3 linked regions of the Arabidopsis thaliana genome follow. The protein of the gene in region 1 purifies or fractionates together with the protein of each later gene. This does not show direct contact. Each region holds a gene or a part of one and is shown on either strand. Other genes may lie near its edges.

The links.
Region 2: the proteins of RRP4 (region 1) and AT4G32175 fractionate together in Arabidopsis thaliana (co-fractionation; one large-scale study listed by BioGRID). This does not show direct contact.
Region 3: the proteins of RRP4 (region 1) and SMU1 fractionate together in Arabidopsis thaliana (co-fractionation; one large-scale study listed by BioGRID). This does not show direct contact.

The regions. Positions count from the first base shown.
Region 1 is NC_003070.9:821,427-828,295, forward strand, and holds RRP4 (ribosomal RNA processing 4), read left to right. Parts: upstream 1-3,090; 5' UTR 3,091-3,226; coding exon 3,227-3,387; intron 3,388-3,464; coding exon 3,465-3,566; intron 3,567-3,675; coding exon 3,676-3,721; intron 3,722-3,826; coding exon 3,827-3,916; intron 3,917-3,995; coding exon 3,996-4,061; intron 4,062-4,160; coding exon 4,161-4,229; intron 4,230-4,318; coding exon 4,319-4,753; 3' UTR 4,754-4,973; downstream 4,974-6,869. Other genes in the region: AT1G03350 (BSD domain-containing protein), read right to left, coding at 1,408-2,820; AT1G03365 (RING/U-box superfamily protein), read left to right, coding at 5,756-6,869. UniProt on the Arabidopsis thaliana protein: Non-catalytic component of the RNA exosome complex which has 3'->5' exoribonuclease activity and participates in a multitude of cellular RNA processing, maturation and degradation events.
Region 2 is NC_003075.7:15,532,188-15,538,102, reverse strand, and holds AT4G32175 (PNAS-3-like protein), read right to left. Parts: upstream 2,670-5,915; 5' UTR 2,549-2,669; coding exon 2,498-2,548; intron 2,415-2,497; coding exon 2,340-2,414; intron 2,204-2,339; coding exon 2,117-2,203; intron 1,742-2,116; coding exon 1,685-1,741; intron 1,304-1,684; coding exon 1,211-1,303; intron 1,101-1,210; coding exon 1,028-1,100; intron 944-1,027; coding exon 868-943; intron 780-867; coding exon 566-779; 3' UTR 501-565; downstream 1-500. Other genes in the region: PANK2 (pantothenate kinase 2), read left to right, coding at 1-31, 131-202, 287-379; CYP96A2 (cytochrome P450, family 96, subfamily A, polypeptide 2), read right to left, coding at 2,811-4,331; AT4G32160 (Phox (PX) domain-containing protein), read right to left, coding at 5,211-5,474, 5,665-5,871.
Region 3 is NC_003070.9:27,722,024-27,730,531, forward strand, and holds SMU1 (transducin family protein / WD-40 repeat family protein), read left to right. Parts: upstream 1-2,967; 5' UTR 2,968-3,035; coding exon 3,036-3,061; intron 3,062-3,572; coding exon 3,573-3,783; intron 3,784-3,873; coding exon 3,874-4,026; intron 4,027-4,474; coding exon 4,475-4,523; intron 4,524-4,766; coding exon 4,767-4,850; intron 4,851-5,002; coding exon 5,003-5,106; intron 5,107-5,241; coding exon 5,242-5,328; intron 5,329-5,425; coding exon 5,426-5,479; intron 5,480-5,844; coding exon 5,845-5,940; intron 5,941-6,103; coding exon 6,104-6,228; intron 6,229-6,474; coding exon 6,475-6,601; intron 6,602-6,699; coding exon 6,700-6,759; intron 6,760-6,857; coding exon 6,858-6,965; intron 6,966-7,059; coding exon 7,060-7,160; intron 7,161-7,302; coding exon 7,303-7,354; intron 7,355-7,600; coding exon 7,601-7,699; 3' UTR 7,700-8,008; downstream 8,009-8,508. Other genes in the region: AT1G73710 (Pentatricopeptide repeat (PPR) superfamily protein), read left to right, coding at 1-2,142; EIL3 (ETHYLENE-INSENSITIVE3-like 3), read right to left, coding at 8,411-8,508. UniProt on the Arabidopsis thaliana protein: Auxiliary spliceosomal protein involved in splicing of specific pre-mRNAs that affect multiple aspects of development. Required for proper accumulation of SMU2.

The DNA of each region.
Region 1 (6,869 bases):
GATACTAGAGAACAGTTGTGTTTTTTCGTTTGAAGAACTTTTAAATCTGCTATAGCGACTTAGCTCATCACTTTTGATACCACACCGGCTCCAACTGTTCTACCTCCTTCCCTTAGAGCAAATCTTTGACCCGTTAAAATCGCAAAATAGAAACAACTTGGATTACTCAAGAAACAACTTGCTTTCTCGCCTTGAAATGGTGATTGGGGTTTAAGTGAGGGTTAATTACTCACGCGAGGGTTTCTCTTGGATCCATCCAGATCCTTTTCTATCCTTTTCTGTGTTCTTCTTACCAGTAAATTCTCAAAGGACGTCGATTGTGGTTTTACACTAATAGTTTCACATCGATTCGTTGCATTATTAAAATCCAATCATAAAATTTCTATTTATACATGCACACATACGGTACATGTTCAATTGAAACATTTTCCCTAACTAGACATGCCAATAAATAATAAGTTGGTTTGGTCCAAAAAATAAAATAATAAGTAAAATTCTACAAAACAAATGGTACAGTTTTGTTAATAACTAGATATTCATCCGGGTACACAACGTATTTATATTTTTGTTAACAAGTTAAAGATTTTATTTTAGTTAATAGTATTTATAAATGATAAACATATTAAGAAGTACACAACGAGCCTATATTTTTCTCAAAAATTTTTATTTTTTTGTTTTAAAGATGATTTATAGATATATGCTATTGCTTTTTTTTATGTATGATACATCTCGAAATGATTTATATAACTAAATTTCTGAAATTTTAAGTTATTTTTTGTATTAATATTGTAAATTTTGTTTAATTTTAGAATTTTACCATAGTATATCATTCCGTATTAATATTGATCCAAACCGTCTCACCATATATCCTAGTTCTGTGAAATTAAACATCATTTTGTCATTTTCTTATAAAGTTCAAATCTATATAATATTTGAAACTTCAAAAAAGTTTTAAATATATTGTATTATATCGTCCCGTATTAATATATTTTTAAATATATATATTATATAAAACTTCATAAGAGTTTTAAAATTATAAATATTAAAACGTTTTAAGAAGTTTTAATTTTAAAAGTTTTACAATTTGTAATATTTAACTTTTTTGGTTCTTCACAAAGGACAGAAATTGAGATTAATTTTGACACAATTAAAGCTCCGAATTCGCAGGGGTCAGTTGATTGATATACTCAAAATAACTGGAGAGAATGACTATCGCAAGATGAATATATTCAAACTTTCCTCAAACCACCTTCTCAAGTAAAATTTAAAAACATATTTTCAAATCAATGTAAAATAGAAACGTTGAAGAGAAAAACAACTGAAGAATGGGGGCAAAGCGCCAGAAACTTGTAAAAACAAGTAAAAGGATTGGCAAAAGTAAGAAAGCACACCACTTTAAAACTAACATTAAGCTTTGGATGATGATGATTCTTCTTCGTCATCTTCATCAATGTCCCAACTTAAATCTTCATCTTCCTCTGCAGCACTCAGACGTTTACGCAGCTCAGCTCTGTTTGGACTACCACCAGACCGACTCGTTTCCTTACCATCTATGCTACTCATATCCTCGATCTCGTCCCATCCCAAATCCTCTTCAGATGGTTGTTGAGTTGATGAAGAAGCAGCCACATCTGGTTTAGCTGAGTCTTGGGATGGAGCAGCCTCATCAGATTTTGGTTTGACAGAATCTTGGATTGGAGCCTCATCAGATGTTGGTTTGACAGAATCTTGGATTGGAGCCTCATCAGACGCAGGAGGAGCAGCATCAACAAATGATTTTTCTTCTGGAACTTCCTCACTATCAGTCTCCTTCTTTTCCTCAGAATCTTTATCTGTCTTCAAACCAACATTGCTCACTTCAGTCACTGAATCTGCACTTGTCACTTCATCTTGCGTGCTCACTTTAGCCACTGAATATGTACTTTCCACTTCATCTTTCACAGTTTCACTCACATCTCCACCACCCATACCATCATTCCCTTCAAGTTTCAACCTTGAAACATCTTTGGTAGCTTCAACAACTTTCTCGCTGCTCTCCTCTTCATCATCAATATCCCAGCTCAATTCTTCTTCATCATCCAGAGAGATGGCTCGTTTCACAAGATTAGCCCTTAAATCCTCAGCTTGCTTGAGCTTGTTAACCCTATAGAAATACCTAAACCAGAAGGTCTCGTGATCAACCATACTCGGAACGACCCTTTTATACACTCCTTTCATATCACCATTTTCCTCCAACAATTTCTCCATCTCCTCAGCTTTTCCATCCAGAGAAAACGCAGATTCCCACTTTTTGTAATCATCTGAATCCTCAGGCTCTTCACAGTAAGTGTTGAGATCTCCTTGAACAGCACGAATCTGAGCATCGAAACGACTATATGGTTTCGAACTGAAGCTATCACGACGACCAAAACTCTGACTACTATTGTTATCAGAAGAATCAGATTCATTACCAGCGGCTAAAATCGCTTCCTTACCTTGAGCAATAATCTCAGCCGTACCTTTTAGCACCGTGTTCCCAAGCTCATCAATCGCATGTCCCACCGTACCAAGCGATCCCTGAGCCACCTCGATCTCTTTCTTCAAACCTGTGCCAAATTCTTCGAGATCTCGTCGGTAGGTTTCAATCACGGATTCGGATCTGGTGGCTAGAGTTTTCATCAGACCACCGAAGCTCCATCCACCGTCGTCGTTAGATTCAGATTGCTCTGGATGTTCTTGCTCTGGATGTTCATGCTCTTCGCTGTGTTTCGGTGAATCGGATTCGGATTCGGTTTCTGGAGGATCTAGGTCTTCCGTGAAGACGGATTTGAAGAAATTCATAGCGTAAAGCTCAGATCTTACCAATCGGTACTCTCAGATAATTTGTTTGATCCGTGAAAGAATCAATTTGAAGAGTGAAGGATTCGAATTAGCGTCAGAAATAGGAAGATCACAAAAGACTTGAAGCTTGTCGCTGCAGAGACGTCTAATTTTTTTCCCATTTTTTTAATGAAGATAAATAATACTTTATTTGGCGTCAATTATCAGATTAATGGGCCAGAAGTTTTATAAATGGGCCAGAAGTTGGATATGTTAGTCCAACAAATAACACAAAACCCTAGAATTCATTCAAGGGAACTAACGTCAAGGTTTTTGCTCTTCTTCTCTCCCAAGTCCCAAACTCGTTTTGCATCGCCATTGTTGTGTTGCTGGAGCTAAATAGAGAGAAAGAGAGAGAGTGTCTGTGATGGTGATGAGAAAGCTACAGTTACCGTTGAGCCAGACGCAGAAGGTTAGGTTTGAGAGAGCAATCGAGCGGCTTCAATCACTGTCGTCGTCGGCTAACTCTGACGCTTCTGTTATCGTCACCGACTCTATTCCCGTCAACCATGACGATGCCTTCCTCAAGTAATTTCATCTCATTCTCCCTTCTGGATTGAAATTTTTGTCAAATTGCGTTTTCACGATTGGTTTTTTCATTAAAGGGGACATGGAACTTCCGAGGTCGATGGTGAGTTGCTCGCGACGGTCTGTGGAGTAGTGGAGCGTGTGGATAAGCTTGTCTATGTACGCACCTTGCGAGCCAGGTCTGTGATTGATCTTTGAATTTGTTTAGTTTCCCAGAAAATGTGAATAGAATGGACTCTCTACTCTGAGATTAAGTAGAACTGATGGTTTTGATGATCTACGTTTTAGGTACAAGCCTGAAGTTGGGGATATTGTGGTAGGCCGTGTCATTGAGGTAGATTTTTGTTTTGGTGTTTGGATTTTTGAAATCGGATTGAGTGAGTAACATAAAGGTTTCAATCACATTGCACAGTTACTGGATTGATCTTTACTTATTCAGGTTGCTCAAAAACGTTGGAGAGTGGAGCTCAACTTCAATCAGGATGGAGTACTGATGCTTTCTTCCATGAACATGCCTGATGGTATTCAGGTACAGTTTGATTCTTGATATTTTGCCATTTGGATGATTGCTTTTGGCTTCAATGATATAAGTTTATTGTTGTTGCCAGAGGCGAAGAACCTCTGTGGATGAACTCAATATGCGGAATATCTTTGTAGAGCATGATGTCGTATGTGTAAGTCCTGTGATTAGTAATGTTCCAATCTTTACATATCTTAACAGTTACGTCAACCTGACTAAAAGGGTTCCCTCTTTGGTTTGTTCAAACTCTTAGGCTGAAGTACGCAACTTTCAGCATGATGGTAGCTTGCAGTTACAAGCCAGAAGTCAGAAGTATGGCAAGGTTGGTTCTCATTTGGTCACATGCTCATGTAGTTATACCTTTCGCTAGTCTCTTCCTCTGAACATTGATTAATCCATGAATCGCTACAGCTCGAGAAGGGACAACTTCTGAAGGTCGATCCTTACTTGGTTAAGAGAAGCAAACATCACTTTCATTACGTAGAAAGTCTTGGGATTGATTTGATTATTGGCTGCAATGGTTTCATATGGGTTGGAGAACATGTCGAAGTGAGAGATCCTATGGCAATAGATGATCAGAAAGATGAGGAAATGATCTCATCCTCCTCCACAGGAAAAGAGCAAAGCCATATTCCACTCGAGACTCGACAAACCATATGCAGAATCGGGAATGCGATACGTGTCTTGTCTAATCTAGGCTTCACCGTGACACTAGAAGTAATCATGGAGACTGTTAACCTCAGTAACTCAAAGAATATTGACATACATGATATGCTTGGATCAGAGTTTCACGTTGTGGTAGCAGAGAATGAAGCTGAAAGAAGACGTACAAAGAGGAAAAAGTGAAAACTACCCCTTTTTGTCACTGATGTATCAGAGACTTGTAACGTGTATTAGATCATTCGGTCTTGTTTGTTACTCAGCTTCTATTGAAAGTTCGAATTTTAATCTGATTGAGATATGTAGTATGATGGATGTGTTTGATACTATTAACTGTACATCAGATTAGATTAGTCGAGTTATGTCTTTTGGAGACGGCTTTCTTCTTTCATTCATGAATTTATCGGTTTCGACTTTTGTAGCTGAAATTCGTTTTGTGAAAGGATCTACAGTTGCAGAAACAACATAGAAAAGATTCGCTGCCCTTTTTAGCTCGGAGAAGGGATAATTGGGAAATGACTAAAATACCCTCATGAGAATCCAAGTAATAACAGCGATTACCAAACCTCTTCTCTCATTCACGAAACAGTGTTCTACGGCCAATTTCTCTCGCTCGCTCCACACTCCCAAAACAATATTCTTCTTCTTCGATTTCTCACTCTCTGTTTGTCGCTACCGATCTTATTTCCCGCTATTTTTGTTCCGGCGCCGTTCTCCTTAAAGTCGCTATTGTCTTCGTTGAAGGTCAGTTTACGGCCTTTTTTAAATCCATTTTGGTGTATTCGTGATTGTTTGTGGGTTGAATGATCGTGCGATTATTTGGGGTTTTTAATTAATTTCGATTCAGTAACGGTTCTGAATTGCATTGCGATTAAGCACTTAATCAGAAAGTAGTACGCTTTAGATTTGAGGAATCTCTGTACATTTACTAGGCAAAAAGTTTACTTTTTTTTTTTGGCGTATTTCTGGGATTGCATTAGTTAGGCGATTGAATCACGTTTCTGAAAGCTACAACTAGGAGATGAAATCATCTCTCTTTTGCATGTATACAGATAATTTAGATGATTTTGGTCTAACATCTTTGATACTTTAATGGTTTTTGCATATGAAACAATTTCGTATCTATGTTCTACGCTTTTTTGTGTGTGTTTAACTTAAGTCGTTCATGTGTAATGGATTAAAAAGGTGATGAGTATAGTTCAAAAGCAAGAAGAGATGAATGGATGTGGTCTCAATGTTGACAAAGTAGAAGCCTTTACAGTGTCACCTCAGGAAAAAGGAAGGAAAAACAAGAGAAAGTTAGCTGATCCTTCTCAACCAAATGCTTCTTCCCTCACTGAATTCCCTCCATATGAGTTACCTTCGTTGAAACCTCAGAACCATTTGAGCGGAAATGGATCGGTTGGGGAAGTTTCTAATCAGCTGCAAGTTGAAGTGTCTGAATCTGTCGAATGGGATGACCCATTTGCCTGTCATCTTGAAGAATTGTTGTCGTCAAATTTGCTCACGCTCTTCCTTGATACAATGAAGCAGCTTATTGATTTAGGCTACACCGATGACGAAGTTCTGAAAGCTGTATCACGCTGTAGGCTGTACTGTGGAGGCAATAATCTTTTGTCAAACATTGTCAATAACACCTTGAGTGCTCTCAAGACTGGAGACGAAGGTGCTGGTTCAGGAGACTATGTGTTTGAGGATTTACAACAGCTTGTTTCCTATACGTTGGTAGAAATGATAAGTCTTATTAAGGAGGTCAGGCCGTCCCTATCAACAGTTGAAGCTATGTGGAGGCTTTTGATGTGCGACTTGAATGTCTTGCAAGCCTTTGAAGCTGAAGGCGATGGATTGGTGAGTTCAAGTAAATTATCTGATTCGGAATCTCTTGGTGCTGAATCTAATCCTCCAAAATCTAGTGACCCAGATAACCCAAAGCCTCCCCAATCCGATCCTCAAAGCAATCGGAATGAGCCACTCAAATTTGGAAACTTCCCAAATACACCGAACTCCAAAAAAACTCAGTCTAGTGGAACAACACCAGGAAAAGAAGTATGCTCGGGTAGCACTGTTTCTTGTCAAGGCATGAGAAGTACATCATTTACTCTAGTCTCTGATGAAAAATTGGTATCTTGTCGAAAAGGCCGTACTAAAAAAGAGATAGCAATGCTTCGGCAAAAATCATGTGTGGAAAAAATTAGGACTTACAGCAAAGGCAGTGGCTATAAGGCGGCAAAGTTTGCATCAGTTGGCAGCTTCCTTTTAGAGAAAAGAGTCAAATCATCTTCTGAATTTGTGCCAAGAAATT
Region 2 (5,915 bases), on another chromosome or scaffold:
GCTTGCAGCCGCTGCCAAAGACGCTGATCTTGTATCTACAAAACCTTCTCTGTTTTCTACCTGACATAAACTTCAAACACATCAAAAAAGAGAAGCTTTGTTCTTTATTTGATGTTTAACAATATTGCAGGTTGTCTTGGAAGGTATGGGAAGAGCACTTCACACCAACTTCAACGCTCAATTCCAATGCGAGGCTCTCAAGGTTTAAACCTCACTTGACAGAAAATTTCAGCTCTAGAACTGTTATTGAAACTTTTGGCTGAAACCTTCTCTTCCTTTTTGGCAGCTAGCAATGGTTAAAAATCAGAGATTGGCTGAGAAGTTGATAAAAGGAAACATATATGATTGTGTATGCAGATACGAGCCTCCCTCGCTTTAACAATGTTATGTATCATTTCTTCAACCTTTAGACTACTGTTGTATACAGATTAAGCATTCGTCATGTGGCATATGTATTTTTATTTAGACTACACTTTTACTGTATAAAATTGTATTTGAATGAATCAAAATCACTTGCTATAAAGAGCATCATGAGGGTTCAGTTACATTTCAAGAACAATAACGTTTAGTCTGAAATTATCGCGAGCAATTTCTCAACCATGATTCTCTGCTGAGTCCCACTTAGAGATTCCGAGTTCATTATTGCATTGGCCACGATAATGACTATACGTGGAGCTGTCGCATTTACCCAAACTCTGCCATTTAAGCCCACAGCTATCTCGAACGAGAGTTTCTTTCCAAGAGCCTCAATGACCGGGCGCGTTGGTGAATTCAACAGCCTATAAGAGATGAGAAAGTAAAGTTGTAATGGCGAAAGAAGATAGATAAAGTATAAGGAGACATTTTTTATGAGGAAGTATATCTCACATTCTTGAAAGACCAGTTGAAGTTTCAAACATGAAACCATCTCTCAAGGGTCCAAATAATGCAGCTTTCCCACTAGCTAATACATAGAAACAAGAGACAATTAGTTTAAAAGGGATTAAGAGAAGCAGCACTGTTTTAGCCTCCAAAGCTTTTAACTTACCCTCGGTACAAGACAGCTCCGGATTCATTCCTATGTTTGTCTTGACAACCCGGAGATAAAGCAGAGTGCCTACCTGTTTAGTACACAAAAATTTGAACATTCCAGAAACAATCAATTCATAGAGAATGTCATATCCCAAATGAGAATTCAAGAGAGCTTCCTGAGTCATCAGAATGTACATGCCTCAAACTTGGGAATATTTCTTCGTGTTCCTCCTTCGAATGCAAGAACTGGCAAAAGTGCTAATTGAGGTCCTTTAATGTCCACCCAAAAATTCTGCAATGACATGATGAGTAAAAGAAACAATTCAGTACTTACTAAGGCGATGTTAGTTCATGCAAGAAAGCTTAACTGCAGCTGATAATTTAAAAGTCAATTAACATTTGTTTGTCCAATAATGGTATCAGTTTTCTTCTGATTTTAGACCATAACTTCAATACTCCCACCTATTTATTTACTGATCCAAGACCATCAACAAACAAGTTCACCTTTATTGGCTCAGAGAAATGAGGACTGAAGTCGCGGAAACTGACAAACATATATTTGTATCGTATTTGACAACTAAAGTATAATAAAATGCTTTCAGAGATGACCAGTCTGAGAGGGATCCAAAAACAACACAAGAATCTATACAAGCAATGATTTCAAAGGACTTACATCTGCCCTAGAATCGACCACGATTCCAAGAACATGATCATCAGGGCGAGGTATATACTGCAAAAAAAAAACATAATAACAGAGTCAGCAACAAAGAGAACGAGACTTACATAGATAATTAACAAAACAATATTCTACTAGAGTTTTGAAAACCAAAAATGGTAAATTGTCTTATCAAGCCAGATGTATATGATCAAATAACTAGGGAGAAAACTAGCAAGAATGATCCACAAAAGCATCAAATTGTCAAAATGCTACAAAAGGCAAATCTTCAATTCTTCATGATGCAATTGTGCCAGGTTATTTGTTACTTTTCTACTCATGATTAATCAAGTGGACCTAGTATCCGAGCAGATGACACAGTTATAATCCACAAGAAGCTCAATAGAGAAGCAACCAGAAAGGGAAGATTAGTAAGACCACTGAGCTCACCCGTTTATGAGAACTTTCGAGCCAATACTTATTAGGCTTGGAGTAACTTAATTTGCCAGCTCTCATGGCAGAGATAGCATCATTATCCTAAAATAAGCCAAAAAAACAAACACATGTCAATCTACAATTCCTTTTTAGTTGCAATTGTATATCACAAATCAAGTGCCCACTGGAATAATTGTTAGGATTCAAACAACACATAAGAAAGAGAAGAAGATGAAACCTGAAGAAGGCCACTTCCGAGCTTGATTGTTTGGTTATTCATGTTTGACAAATCAAGAACAACATCACCTGGAACCTAAAAATTGAAAACACCATGCTTCATTGTAACCAAATCGAATCGAAATCATAAAAAAGCCAACTTTTTAGAGATATACGGACCACAATCTGATTTAAGAGGCTTGTGGGAGAGACAGAAACTTTGGCAGCCATGAGTGAGGTGGGTTTTGGAGATAAGAACCCTAATATATGTTAAACTCTGTTAAAGCTTGTTCCTTGACGACGATGAGAACCCAGAAAGGAACAACACTGCACAGTCTCTTCTTTTTTTTGCACGCAAATTTTGAACCAAAACTATACCGAACCAGTCAATATTAGGATTTCGGTTTACTTAAACCGTAAAACTAAAAAAAAAAACTAAGAACCAAATCAAAACCAAACCAAAATGATTTTTTTATTTAATACATGAATAATTTCAAGCAGAACATCTCTTAGTAACAGTGATTTGAAGACCATGTTTCATTGACAATATAAAACCAAGAGCTGGCACAATCTTCTGTCCTTGGAGAACCTTAATGTCGTAGTTTCGTAATATCTCCACTGCCACTATCTTCATTTGAGTCATAGCTAGATGTTTACCTAGACAAGTTCTTGGACCGGCATTAAACGACAAAAACTTGAAGGAAGGCTCATGTTTTATGCCTCCATTCTCCGAAATCCATCTCTCTGGCTTGAACTGCGATGCATCTTCTCCCCAAACCGCTCGCATCCTCCCCAATGCATAAAGACAGATAATAATCTTAGAGTTTGCATCAACTTTATGGCCACTTGGAAGCACATCTGATTTGATTGGAGACTTGCGTCCGAAGGAAACTGGTGGGTAGAGTCTCATTGCTTCACACAACGCACCATGTAAATACACCAACTTGTCTACATTCTCTTGGCTATTTCCTGTTCTTGATAGATCAGTGTTGATGTTGATCTCTTGATGAATCTTGGCTACCACATGTGGATTTTCAGAGAGAAGCCAGAAGAACCAAGAGAGAGCGGTGGCTGTTGTGTCTCTTCCCGCTAGAATGAAAGCTAAGATGTTGTCTCTAAGGAACTTATCGTCACTCGGATTCAAGAGCTTGTACTTGGTCGTGTCTAGCTTTATGAAGGAAGTTAAAAGATCCTGACTTCCTCCATTGGAAGTCCCTTGTGATCTTTTAATCTCTTCTCTCTTGGCTGATATGTATTTGGCACACACGCGGTCAAAAGTTGCATTAGCTTCAGTGAGCTTCTTCTCTTGTCCGAATCCTATCCAGTTTTGCAGCTTCCACAAGAACCTTGGTTTAAAATGCCTATAAAGAATCCCTTCTCCAACATCGTCGAGAGCTTTAGCAAATTCGTCTTCAGGCATTTCAATGGAGAGAGATCTAGGATCAGAACCAGTTACAAGGATGAAAATTGTATCGAAAGTGAACCTCCCGAAGACGCTTTGCAAGTCAAGAGTTGTTCCTTCCTCAGCAAAATGATTAAGAAGGGGAACAAGACCGTACTTGAGTTTACTTGTCATGGTACTCATTGAAAACCTTTGAAACTCTTGACTATGGAGCATGGCTTGATAAGATTTCCTCATATTCTTCCATAGCTCCGAGTCCGTGGTGATGAAACTGTCTCCTAACACATCAAAAACATCTTGGAACTCCGGTCCTTTGATGTAGTTTGAGAAATTTGAGCTCATTATATGATGAATGTTAGCTGGATCAACCGTGAGCAACATATCCATTCCTGTGAACCGCGGTCCTTTGAATGGAAAGGTCAAGTCAGAGGTTTCGAGAATCTTCACGCTGTAGTCGTAGATTCGGTGAAGCGCCTTGAGCATAGCGGGTAGCATCCGGAGAACCGGCCAGTTCCTAGGGTACCGGCCATGAGGTTTCTTGAAGAGAAAGTAATGAAGGATGAGAAAGCAAAGGATAGCTACGGAAACTTGAAGTAAGCTTATTGAAGCCATTGGAGTAAGGCAATTGATAACACACAGTTTGCTGACACAATGAGAACTAAATTTATAAGCATACACTTCAGGGCACAAGTAAGGAGATGCTTTTTAAAATACACACTAAATTTCGTTATATGCACAAACTGCAAAGCACGTTTAATGCATGTATATCATCAAATTAGAAACTTGTATTAAATTGCCAATGACACCTAACTTTTTATTTTTGTGATAATACACCTAAGTGTTTCAATAATTTGAAAACTGTTATAATTGCCCCTTGTAACTTTATCAACTAATCAAAACTTATTGAAACCATTAGAGAATGAGCTGGATTCACGCACATAGACTTTTGAGTGTGCTCTATGAGCGCTAAAGGAAATGTCATTAACTTCTTCATCCTGTCCAAAGATGATGATAAAGGTTTTTAGCATTTAATATTCTCTATCTAGTTTCAGTTTTCTTCCCTCAAAATTGCTTGCTATAAAGAAATGTCTGAAATACCTGGAGAAAGAAGCCACAAATTCTGCTTCAAGAAAGAAACATGCTTTATACTTGAGGACAATGATGATCAATTGACACAATTTGTATAACCTAAATCCTTACAATTCCAACTTTGTTTGCAAGAACTGAGTTCGGATCACAATAAATATATGCAACAGAGTGCAATACAATTATACAACAAACATACTTAATACACATCTTTTTGCCTTATGTACTCTCAAAAGGGTGGTGTCACGTGTGTGTATATATATCGATTACACAACACTCAGCTTCAACTAATTTGCTCCTCCAAGAGACCAACCGTTTTGTATTATAAAGCGACCAGTCCTTTGCTTATAGAGAAAAAAAAATGGCAGTCTATTCTCAGGTCAAAGCGACTATTATTATTATTACCTATCTCTTCAATGTTTCTCTTGATGCTTCATCTTTCTCATCACTATTTTCCTCATTCACATCTTCAGTGGTCTTTACGTCTTTTTGGAGAGCACGGAGCATTGCAGAGTTCACCTGTTTTCTCAATTTCGCATTCTCAACAAAAATGTTTGCCAGTATCTTCCTCAGCTCGTCCTCCATAATTCTTGTTTCAGTATCCATGCTGAGAGTTTTATCGATGTCTTCAGCAGCAGCATTTTCGTCAAACCCAGAAAGTAGCTGAGCCTGAAAATGGTCTAAATCGTTAAAACTTGTAAAATGCACAACGTTACAGTTTTCATTAGTGCAGCGGAAACCTAACTATCCTACACTAATAAGTAATAAATAACTTCATCCTGATGGACATATCGTGAAAAGTAACTCTTATTAGAGGAAACTGATTTTAAATGGCAATAAAGCAGTGATGCAGCAATACCTCCTCAATTTGATCATCAGATATTGACAGTAAACGCAAAACGTCTGATATTGTAGTTGAGTCGTCGACAAAGTTACCGTTTCCATCCATTGACAAATTTAAGTTGTACTCTTTAAGCCGGTCGTGGAGAATTCTGCAGTCACTAAGCAGCTTCTTTCTAGCCGCAACTGTGTTCTCTAGTAGTTTTCTTTCCTCTTGGAGGAGTTTCTGAAAGTGTAACATGTTCCAGTCTCAGTTGTGTTGTCTCTTAC
Region 3 (8,508 bases), about 27 Mb from region 1:
GTTGGTGCAAGGAATCCTATTGAGAAAAGTCTGCATTTTGCATCTGGTTCAGACTCTTCTCCGAGGAAGCCAAGGTTAACTTCCACCTTCAACACTCTGATTGATTTGTATGGAAAGGCAGGTCGTTTAAACGATGCTGCTAATCTCTTCTCGGAGATGTTGAAATCTGGAGTACCTATAGATACTGTAACGTTTAACACGATGATACATACTTGTGGAACTCATGGGCATTTGTCAGAGGCTGAATCCTTGTTGAAGAAGATGGAAGAGAAAGGGATATCCCCTGATACTAAGACATATAATATCCTTTTGTCTCTTCATGCTGATGCTGGGGACATTGAGGCAGCTCTTGAGTACTATAGGAAAATTAGGAAAGTAGGACTTTTTCCTGATACTGTAACTCATCGAGCTGTTCTTCATATCTTGTGTCAGCGGAAAATGGTTGCAGAAGTTGAAGCTGTGATAGCTGAGATGGACAGAAATAGCATTCGCATTGATGAGCACTCTGTTCCTGTTATTATGCAGATGTATGTCAATGAAGGTTTAGTCGTACAGGCAAAAGCTCTGTTTGAGAGGTTCCAGTTGGATTGTGTGCTTTCGTCAACGACACTTGCAGCAGTTATTGATGTCTATGCTGAAAAGGGACTGTGGGTTGAAGCGGAGACTGTGTTCTATGGGAAAAGAAACATGTCAGGCCAGAGGAATGATGTTTTGGAGTACAATGTCATGATCAAGGCTTATGGTAAGGCCAAACTTCATGAGAAAGCACTTTCTCTCTTCAAAGGGATGAAGAACCAAGGGACTTGGCCTGATGAGTGCACTTACAATTCCCTATTCCAGATGCTTGCTGGGGTTGATTTAGTGGACGAAGCCCAGCGGATCTTGGCTGAAATGCTGGATTCGGGCTGTAAACCTGGATGCAAGACCTATGCTGCTATGATAGCTAGCTATGTGCGGCTTGGCCTGTTGTCTGATGCAGTTGACCTGTACGAGGCAATGGAAAAAACAGGGGTGAAACCGAATGAAGTTGTTTATGGTTCCTTAATTAATGGGTTTGCTGAGAGTGGAATGGTCGAAGAAGCGATTCAATACTTTAGAATGATGGAAGAACATGGCGTTCAGTCCAATCATATCGTTCTGACTTCCCTTATCAAGGCTTATAGCAAAGTGGGGTGTCTTGAAGAAGCTAGGAGAGTGTATGACAAAATGAAGGATTCAGAAGGTGGCCCAGATGTTGCTGCATCAAACAGCATGCTAAGTCTGTGTGCAGATCTTGGCATAGTTTCTGAAGCAGAATCCATTTTCAATGCTCTCAGAGAAAAAGGCACATGTGATGTTATTTCGTTTGCAACAATGATGTACTTGTACAAGGGCATGGGCATGCTCGACGAGGCTATTGAAGTGGCTGAAGAAATGAGAGAGTCTGGTCTACTAAGTGACTGCACTTCATTTAATCAGGTTATGGCTTGCTACGCTGCTGATGGGCAGTTAAGTGAATGCTGTGAACTGTTTCATGAGATGTTAGTTGAAAGAAAGCTCTTGCTGGATTGGGGAACATTTAAAACGCTCTTCACGCTCTTGAAGAAAGGTGGGGTGCCAAGTGAAGCTGTGTCGCAGCTACAAACCGCATACAATGAAGCTAAACCACTGGCAACACCAGCAATCACTGCAACTCTGTTCTCAGCCATGGGTTTGTATGCATATGCGCTGGAATCATGCCAAGAGCTCACAAGTGGTGAAATTCCTCGCGAGCATTTTGCATACAACGCAGTGATATACACTTATAGTGCATCAGGAGACATTGACATGGCCCTAAAGGCATACATGAGAATGCAGGAAAAAGGTCTAGAACCAGATATTGTCACGCAAGCCTACCTTGTTGGGATATACGGGAAAGCGGGAATGGTGGAAGGTGTGAAGAGGGTACATAGCCGGCTGACGTTTGGGGAGCTTGAACCAAGCCAATCGTTGTTTAAAGCAGTTAGAGATGCTTATGTGAGTGCAAACAGACAGGACTTGGCTGATGTGGTGAAGAAAGAGATGAGCATTGCTTTTGAAGCTGAAAGGGAGTGTAGTTCAAGATCTGGAGAAGAAGAAGAAGACGATGAAGAGGAAAATTCTGAAGAAGACGAGGCATTTTGAAGTGTAGCCACAGATGTATGTAAGAAATATTGTAGAATATAGGATTTAGTGGAAATGGACTGTACAGTTTCACAGAAGCCAAAGGAAATATGCATACTTAAGCCTCAGATTGATCTCTGGTAAAGAAATGTGTATCTTAAAACTGTTATAGAAAGAAAAAAAAAGGTTCCACAGGGTCAAATCTATAAAAGCGAGCACCTTTGGCTATGGTTTTGGTAGAGGAATTAGCATACGCTCCTTACAACAATAGATTGATTTGCATCATCGGGTTGGTCTTCTGTTGGTTTTGGTCTCTGGATTGAACATCTTTCTCCTGTCTTGCTTGCTCTTATTTTCAATTGTATAGCATCAAAGCCCATGAAAAGAGCCAGATGTTCTGGAATTGATTCCAATTTGGAATCTTGTCAGTTACTGGTGATGAATATCAACATGGAAGATATGAAACAGAGTAGCCAGCAAATTCCTTCCATTCGGAACAAAGAGTCTCTCAGCTTCAGTCAAAGTATATCAGTTATTGATCTCAAGAAAGTAATAGTAGTGAGCAATGAAGATGATGATGGAGCTCTAGAGTTGAAGAACAGAGGAGTGGAACGAACCAGTGGAGAACTCTTGAAGACCACAGTGTCAATGTGTTTATTGTTGTCTTTGTCTTTCTCTAAAAGTTGTAAAAAAAAAGGGTGTGAAGCTAAAGCTAAATGGTATGTAAGCAATGTTTTGCAATTTTAAATTTACAAAATAACACTCGGAGTTTCTGAAAGTTTAATTTTGACCCATAATATTTGATATTTGAGGCATTGTCCTGGAATTAAAACCAAATTGAAACTCCTTCGCGTGTGTTTTCTGCTGCATTTTTACCTCTTAGCGTCTCCGGCGAAAACCCACTACGACTGAGTATGGCGCTCGAAATCGAAGCTCGAGAGTAAGATTTCGCTTTCTCTTACAAACCCTAGTTTTCGTTTAGTGTCACTGATATGAATTGTGCTCCAAGAACCATCGTTTACGAATGCTCAGATGGATCTTAGGTTACATGTTTGGAGAAAACATCTTGAATGTTGGTTTTTTTATATCCTCCATACTAAAGTTGTGGTTTTTAAATCTACCCATAATTTGTTTTAGCTTGGTTCTTCTAAAGCTAATTGCTTCTGAATATCTAGATTCCTCCGTAGCTATTCTTCGTTTAAATTAACGTCGTATACGAAAATTTGAGGGAGATCATCGTTAGAGTGTTTTGATTCTTTGCAATGCGTCTCGAGGAAAAATCCAATTTGTATAAATTTGAACTCTTGTTAATTCTCGGCTTGGATTGAAACCATTGACAGTATTATTAGCCATTTTGTTAGTAATATTGGATGGAGAACGTTTTGATGCTATATGTCAGCTTTGTGTAGATCTTCATCCCTAATAGCTCTCTATTGTGTTGAATGTCTCAGTGTAATAAAGATTATGCTTCAGTTCTGCAAAGAAAATTCCTTGAATCAGACATTCCAGACATTACAAAGCGAGTGTCAGGTTTCCTTGAATACAGTAGACAGCGTCGAGACGTTTATTTCTGATATTAATAGTGGAAGATGGGACTCGGTACTACCTCAAGTTTCCCAGCTTAAACTTCCCAGGAATAAACTTGAAGACCTTTATGAACAGGTTTGTTCTTTTACTCTGTGAAATGTAGAAGTGTATAAAAATAGTGATTGTCATTGTAAGTTTTGTTTATTTTCGGGGTGATTTTTTCAGATTGTATTGGAGATGATAGAACTTCGAGAGTTGGACACTGCCCGAGCTATTTTGAGACAAACTCAGGTGATGGGTGTCATGAAGCAGGAGCAAGCAGAAAGATATTTGCGGATGGAGCATCTTCTAGTCAGAAGCTATTTTGATCCGCATGAGGTATGGAAACTATATTATGCTCGACTATTCAATATCACGTTGGGTGTTGCTTTTGTTGTTGCTGTGTCACCTAAGCATGGTTGTCCGCAACTGTTCAACAGTTCAAACAATGTTGCTATATCTGTTATCTCTTGCATTTTCTGTACTCTACTTGCGACTTTTGATATCTTTCAAAATCTTAAGTAGAACCAGTGAGCGGTTAAACATGAAGTTGTTTCTAGATGAGGGTCTCAAAGTATAACACATGCTCGTATTTCTGAGTACAAAAGTATCTTTACATGTTACTAGCTCTTTTACATGTTGATGGATTTGACTTTTCTATCTGATTAGTCTTTTGAGGTGTATTGTCTCCTAGTCATTGTTCATGTTATGCACAAAGAGTGGCGTTTTTCATGTAATCATTTCCTTGTGATAATCATGGTTTGCTAATTTTACCTTTGTTTCTAAGGCTTATGGAGACTCAACTAAAGAAAGAAAACGGGCACAGATTGCTCAAGGTTGGCCATTTCTTCTTTATTTTCTACAATAACAATTTTCTTCAGTTATTGTATGATTAATTACCTGAAGGAACCAAGTGATGTTCTGGAATACTCTCTCTATTGCATGCTTAAATATTATTATGACATGAAAAGAAGTTATGACGAGAACTTATTTCCTGTTTAATGGTTATAGAGTTTTTGTTTTCTCTTGCTCAGTATGTACTCAAGGTTCACTAATTGTTTGTTCTCCTACTCGATCAGCTGTGGCTGCCGAGGTTACCGTGGTACCACCTTCACGGTTAATGGCTTTGATAGGTCAGGCTTTAAAGTGGCAACAACATCAAGGTGATTATCTAAGGAACTGTGGATGCTACCAAACAGTTCTGTCAAACTTCATCTCGTTTTCTTTTACTTTTTTGCCTACATTACTAATATATCAATGGAATCAACATATGTACCCTCTCTCATTTCCTAAAATTTACATACACTTGTGTCAGGCCTGCTCCCTCCAGGAACACAGTTTGACCTCTTTCGTGGGACGGCAGCTATGAAGCAAGATGTAGAAGACACACATCCTAATGTTCTTACTCATACCATAAAGGTTCATATTCACACTTTAATAGCTTCTTTAGCTTAGTGGTCTATGATCTGTTGCTCATGATTATTTTGGGTTTTCTCATCAGTTGAGTTCTTGTCTAATTTTCATATCTTTTTCCTTGTGCTGGTGCTGGTGCAGTTTGGTAAAAAGAGTCATGCAGAATGCGCTAGATTCTCACCAGATGGACAGTTTCTTGCATCTTCTTCTGTGGATGGTTTTATCGAGGTGAGTTGATCCGGAATCTGTATGTATGATAATACAAGTTATTAGTCTTTAAAATAATTCTGTGACTAGGATTGCTCAGACTTGAAAAGCATTACAGGTATGGGATTACATAAGTGGAAAGCTCAAGAAGGATTTGCAATATCAAGCTGATGTAAGCTCTCATGTCTTCTTTTCATTTTTTAATTCTAACTCAGTACGGGGTCAGATGAGCTGTTAGTACATTTTAATCAAATGAAAATAATCCTTACTGCATCTGATTATTGAACGTGTGACAAGTCTGTGAGAATGATATGGTGGATTACTTTTTGCTTTTTATTCCAAAAATGTCGCCCATGAGATTCCTGAAGCACCAAGTATATGGTGGATTACTGTTATCTTTGAATTTTAATTTTTTCTCCAATGTAACTCCTAAAGCACCAAGTATCTCGTCTGAGACTTCCTGGTATACAAAATATCAGTTTTGGATAAAGAGTTCCCATTCCATCCTCTTTACTTACTATGATTAATTTCTGACAGGAATCTTTCATGATGCATGATGATCCTGTCCTCTGCATAGACTTTAGCAGAGATTCAGAGATGCTTGCATCTGGGTCACAAGATGGAAAGATTAAAGTAAGTTCCAGCTGCATATGTTTCCTTAAAGTTGAATTTTTTGTCTGAAGATAGACTATTGCGGCAGTTTGGTAGATATATCTTCTTCCTCTCATTGGTCCCATATGTATTCTGATTGAATACAAATAGAAAAACTAGACTTAGATGCATGTCACTTTTGCAGATCTGGCGTATAAGGACTGGTGTATGCATACGTCGTTTTGATGCACATTCCCAAGGAGTTACAAGTCTTTCCTTCTCTCGGGATGGAAGCCAATTACTGAGTACCTCCTTTGACCAAACTGCAAGGTTTTATTAGTTATATCTTTATTTTTTTATTTTGTACTTGCGATATGAATCTCGTCCTATCAAAAACTTGAGGCTTTATATTTCTTTGATGGTAGAATATTCTTTTAACTTTTGATTGCATCTTTTTTCTTCTTGTTTTTGTTAATATTTTCCTTTTCATTTGGTAGTTATGTAAGTTTATTGGTAGAGCTTCTAGTCGAATATAATATCAAATTCTTATTATATATTTTGCTTTATTTTATGCAGAATCCATGGTTTGAAATCTGGGAAATTGTTGAAAGAATTTCGTGGTCACACATCTTATGTAAATCATGCCATCTTTACAAGTGATGGAAGCCGTATTATCACTGCCTCCAGTGATTGTACAGTAAAGGTAAATTCTTCGGCTTTGGCTGTCAGCAGTATCATTGTTTCTCATTTGGACTCTCTGCCCCTTCTGCCGTGTAATAACAGTCTTGTTTCCTTGCACAGGTCTGGGATTCTAAGACGACAGATTGTCTACAAACATTCAAGCCGCCACCTCCGTTAAGGGTATCTTTTCTTATACAGATTTATGTACATCTTGTAATACTTTTTCTGATCTTCTGTGGCAAACTCTTTGGTTACCAAGTCTGAATTTTGAAATATAGGGAACTGATGCATCAGTCAACTCTATTCACTTGTTCCCCAAAAACACAGAACACATTGTTGTGTGCAACAAGACATCATCTATATACATTATGACACTCCAAGGACAGGTAAATTTCCAGCAACGGTCTCCTGCAAATCAGTGTCATTGTCATGCCAAAACTAAGATTGTTCACATGCTTCTATATTGGAATCCTTTTGCAGGTTGTGAAGAGTTTCTCATCCGGTAATAGGGAAGGAGGAGATTTTGTAGCAGCATGTGTATCTACAAAAGGAGATTGGATATACTGCATCGGCGAAGACAAGTAACACTCTAACCTCCTATATCTATCGTTTTATTTTTGGATAAGTTCCACGAGTTTGATTTCAAAGGATAATCTTATGGTTCCTTTCTTTTCGGGTTTCATCTTCTGCCTTTGATGTTCGTAATGGTGTTTGCACCTACAGGAAACTGTACTGCTTCAACTATCAATCTGGTGGACTTGAGCATTTCATGATGGTAAGTTTATATCCGTAACAGACATGCTCCAAAAGATTTTGGATGTTGGAAATTTGAAAGTTGCATTTGAGACAAACACATAACAGTAACTCACTAGAGTAATGAAGTCCCTTGTGTGTTATAATGTTTGATTCATCTGTTCTCCATTTTAGAGCTCAGATTATCATCCTCTCTCTCTCTCTCTTAATACTTATCTTAGTTGTCTTTTATTAGACCTGGTTTCTGAATAGTTTATGCTTATGACAGGTGCATGAGAAGGATGTGATTGGTATAACACACCACCCGCATAGAAACCTCCTTGCTACCTATAGTGAAGATTGCACTATGAAGTTATGGAAGCCCTGAGTTTTCTCATCATCAAGTCTTGTTTTCTGTATGATTAGTCTGTCTTTATTTGATTTGCACTCTTCTCGGGTTAGAACTAGTGTAATGTGAAACCATCTTTGCAAAGATCTCAGCCATTTTGGGAACACTACCCACAGACTCTAAAACCAGCATTTCAGATTTTAAGACCGTTTCACCTGGCCTTGAGCCTTGTAGTAGTTTATTTAACAACGTGTCTCCTTCCTCTTTGACCTTCCCAGCCAGTCAACTCCCATATACTTTTTAGTCTTAGGAAAGAATAAAGTCAAGCTCAAAAATATATAAAAAAAAATGAAAACTTGGGAAGTTCAAAAGAAACAAATAATGATTCTCTTAACTTGATGAATTACTCACAGGTAAATTTACAAATGATGATACGCTAACTGCTTTCCCTAGAGACCATTACAACGGGCAAAGCAGTTCTTCTGGCAACTTATTCAAAAGGAAAATTGTTTCTCTTAACAAATCTAAGAAAATATTATAAGAAAAAAAGAGGAAGAATATAAGATCAGAAGAAATGAAGAAGAGAAAGTAACTGTACTAGCCAGACTATTGCCATGTCCTTTTGAACCTACAAAAATAACAGTAAAACAAAATACATCAAATCTATAAACTAAGATCAAATATATGAGATGGTGTTGTGTAATAAAAAAAAAACTTACTATGTAATCTCCCAAAAAAAATGGCAAGACACTAAGCTCCAAACCATGAGAAATCATCACCAAAACCACCATAGTCAAAGTCCAAGTCAGTCAATGGAGACAGAATGCCACTCTGATACTGAGGCAACT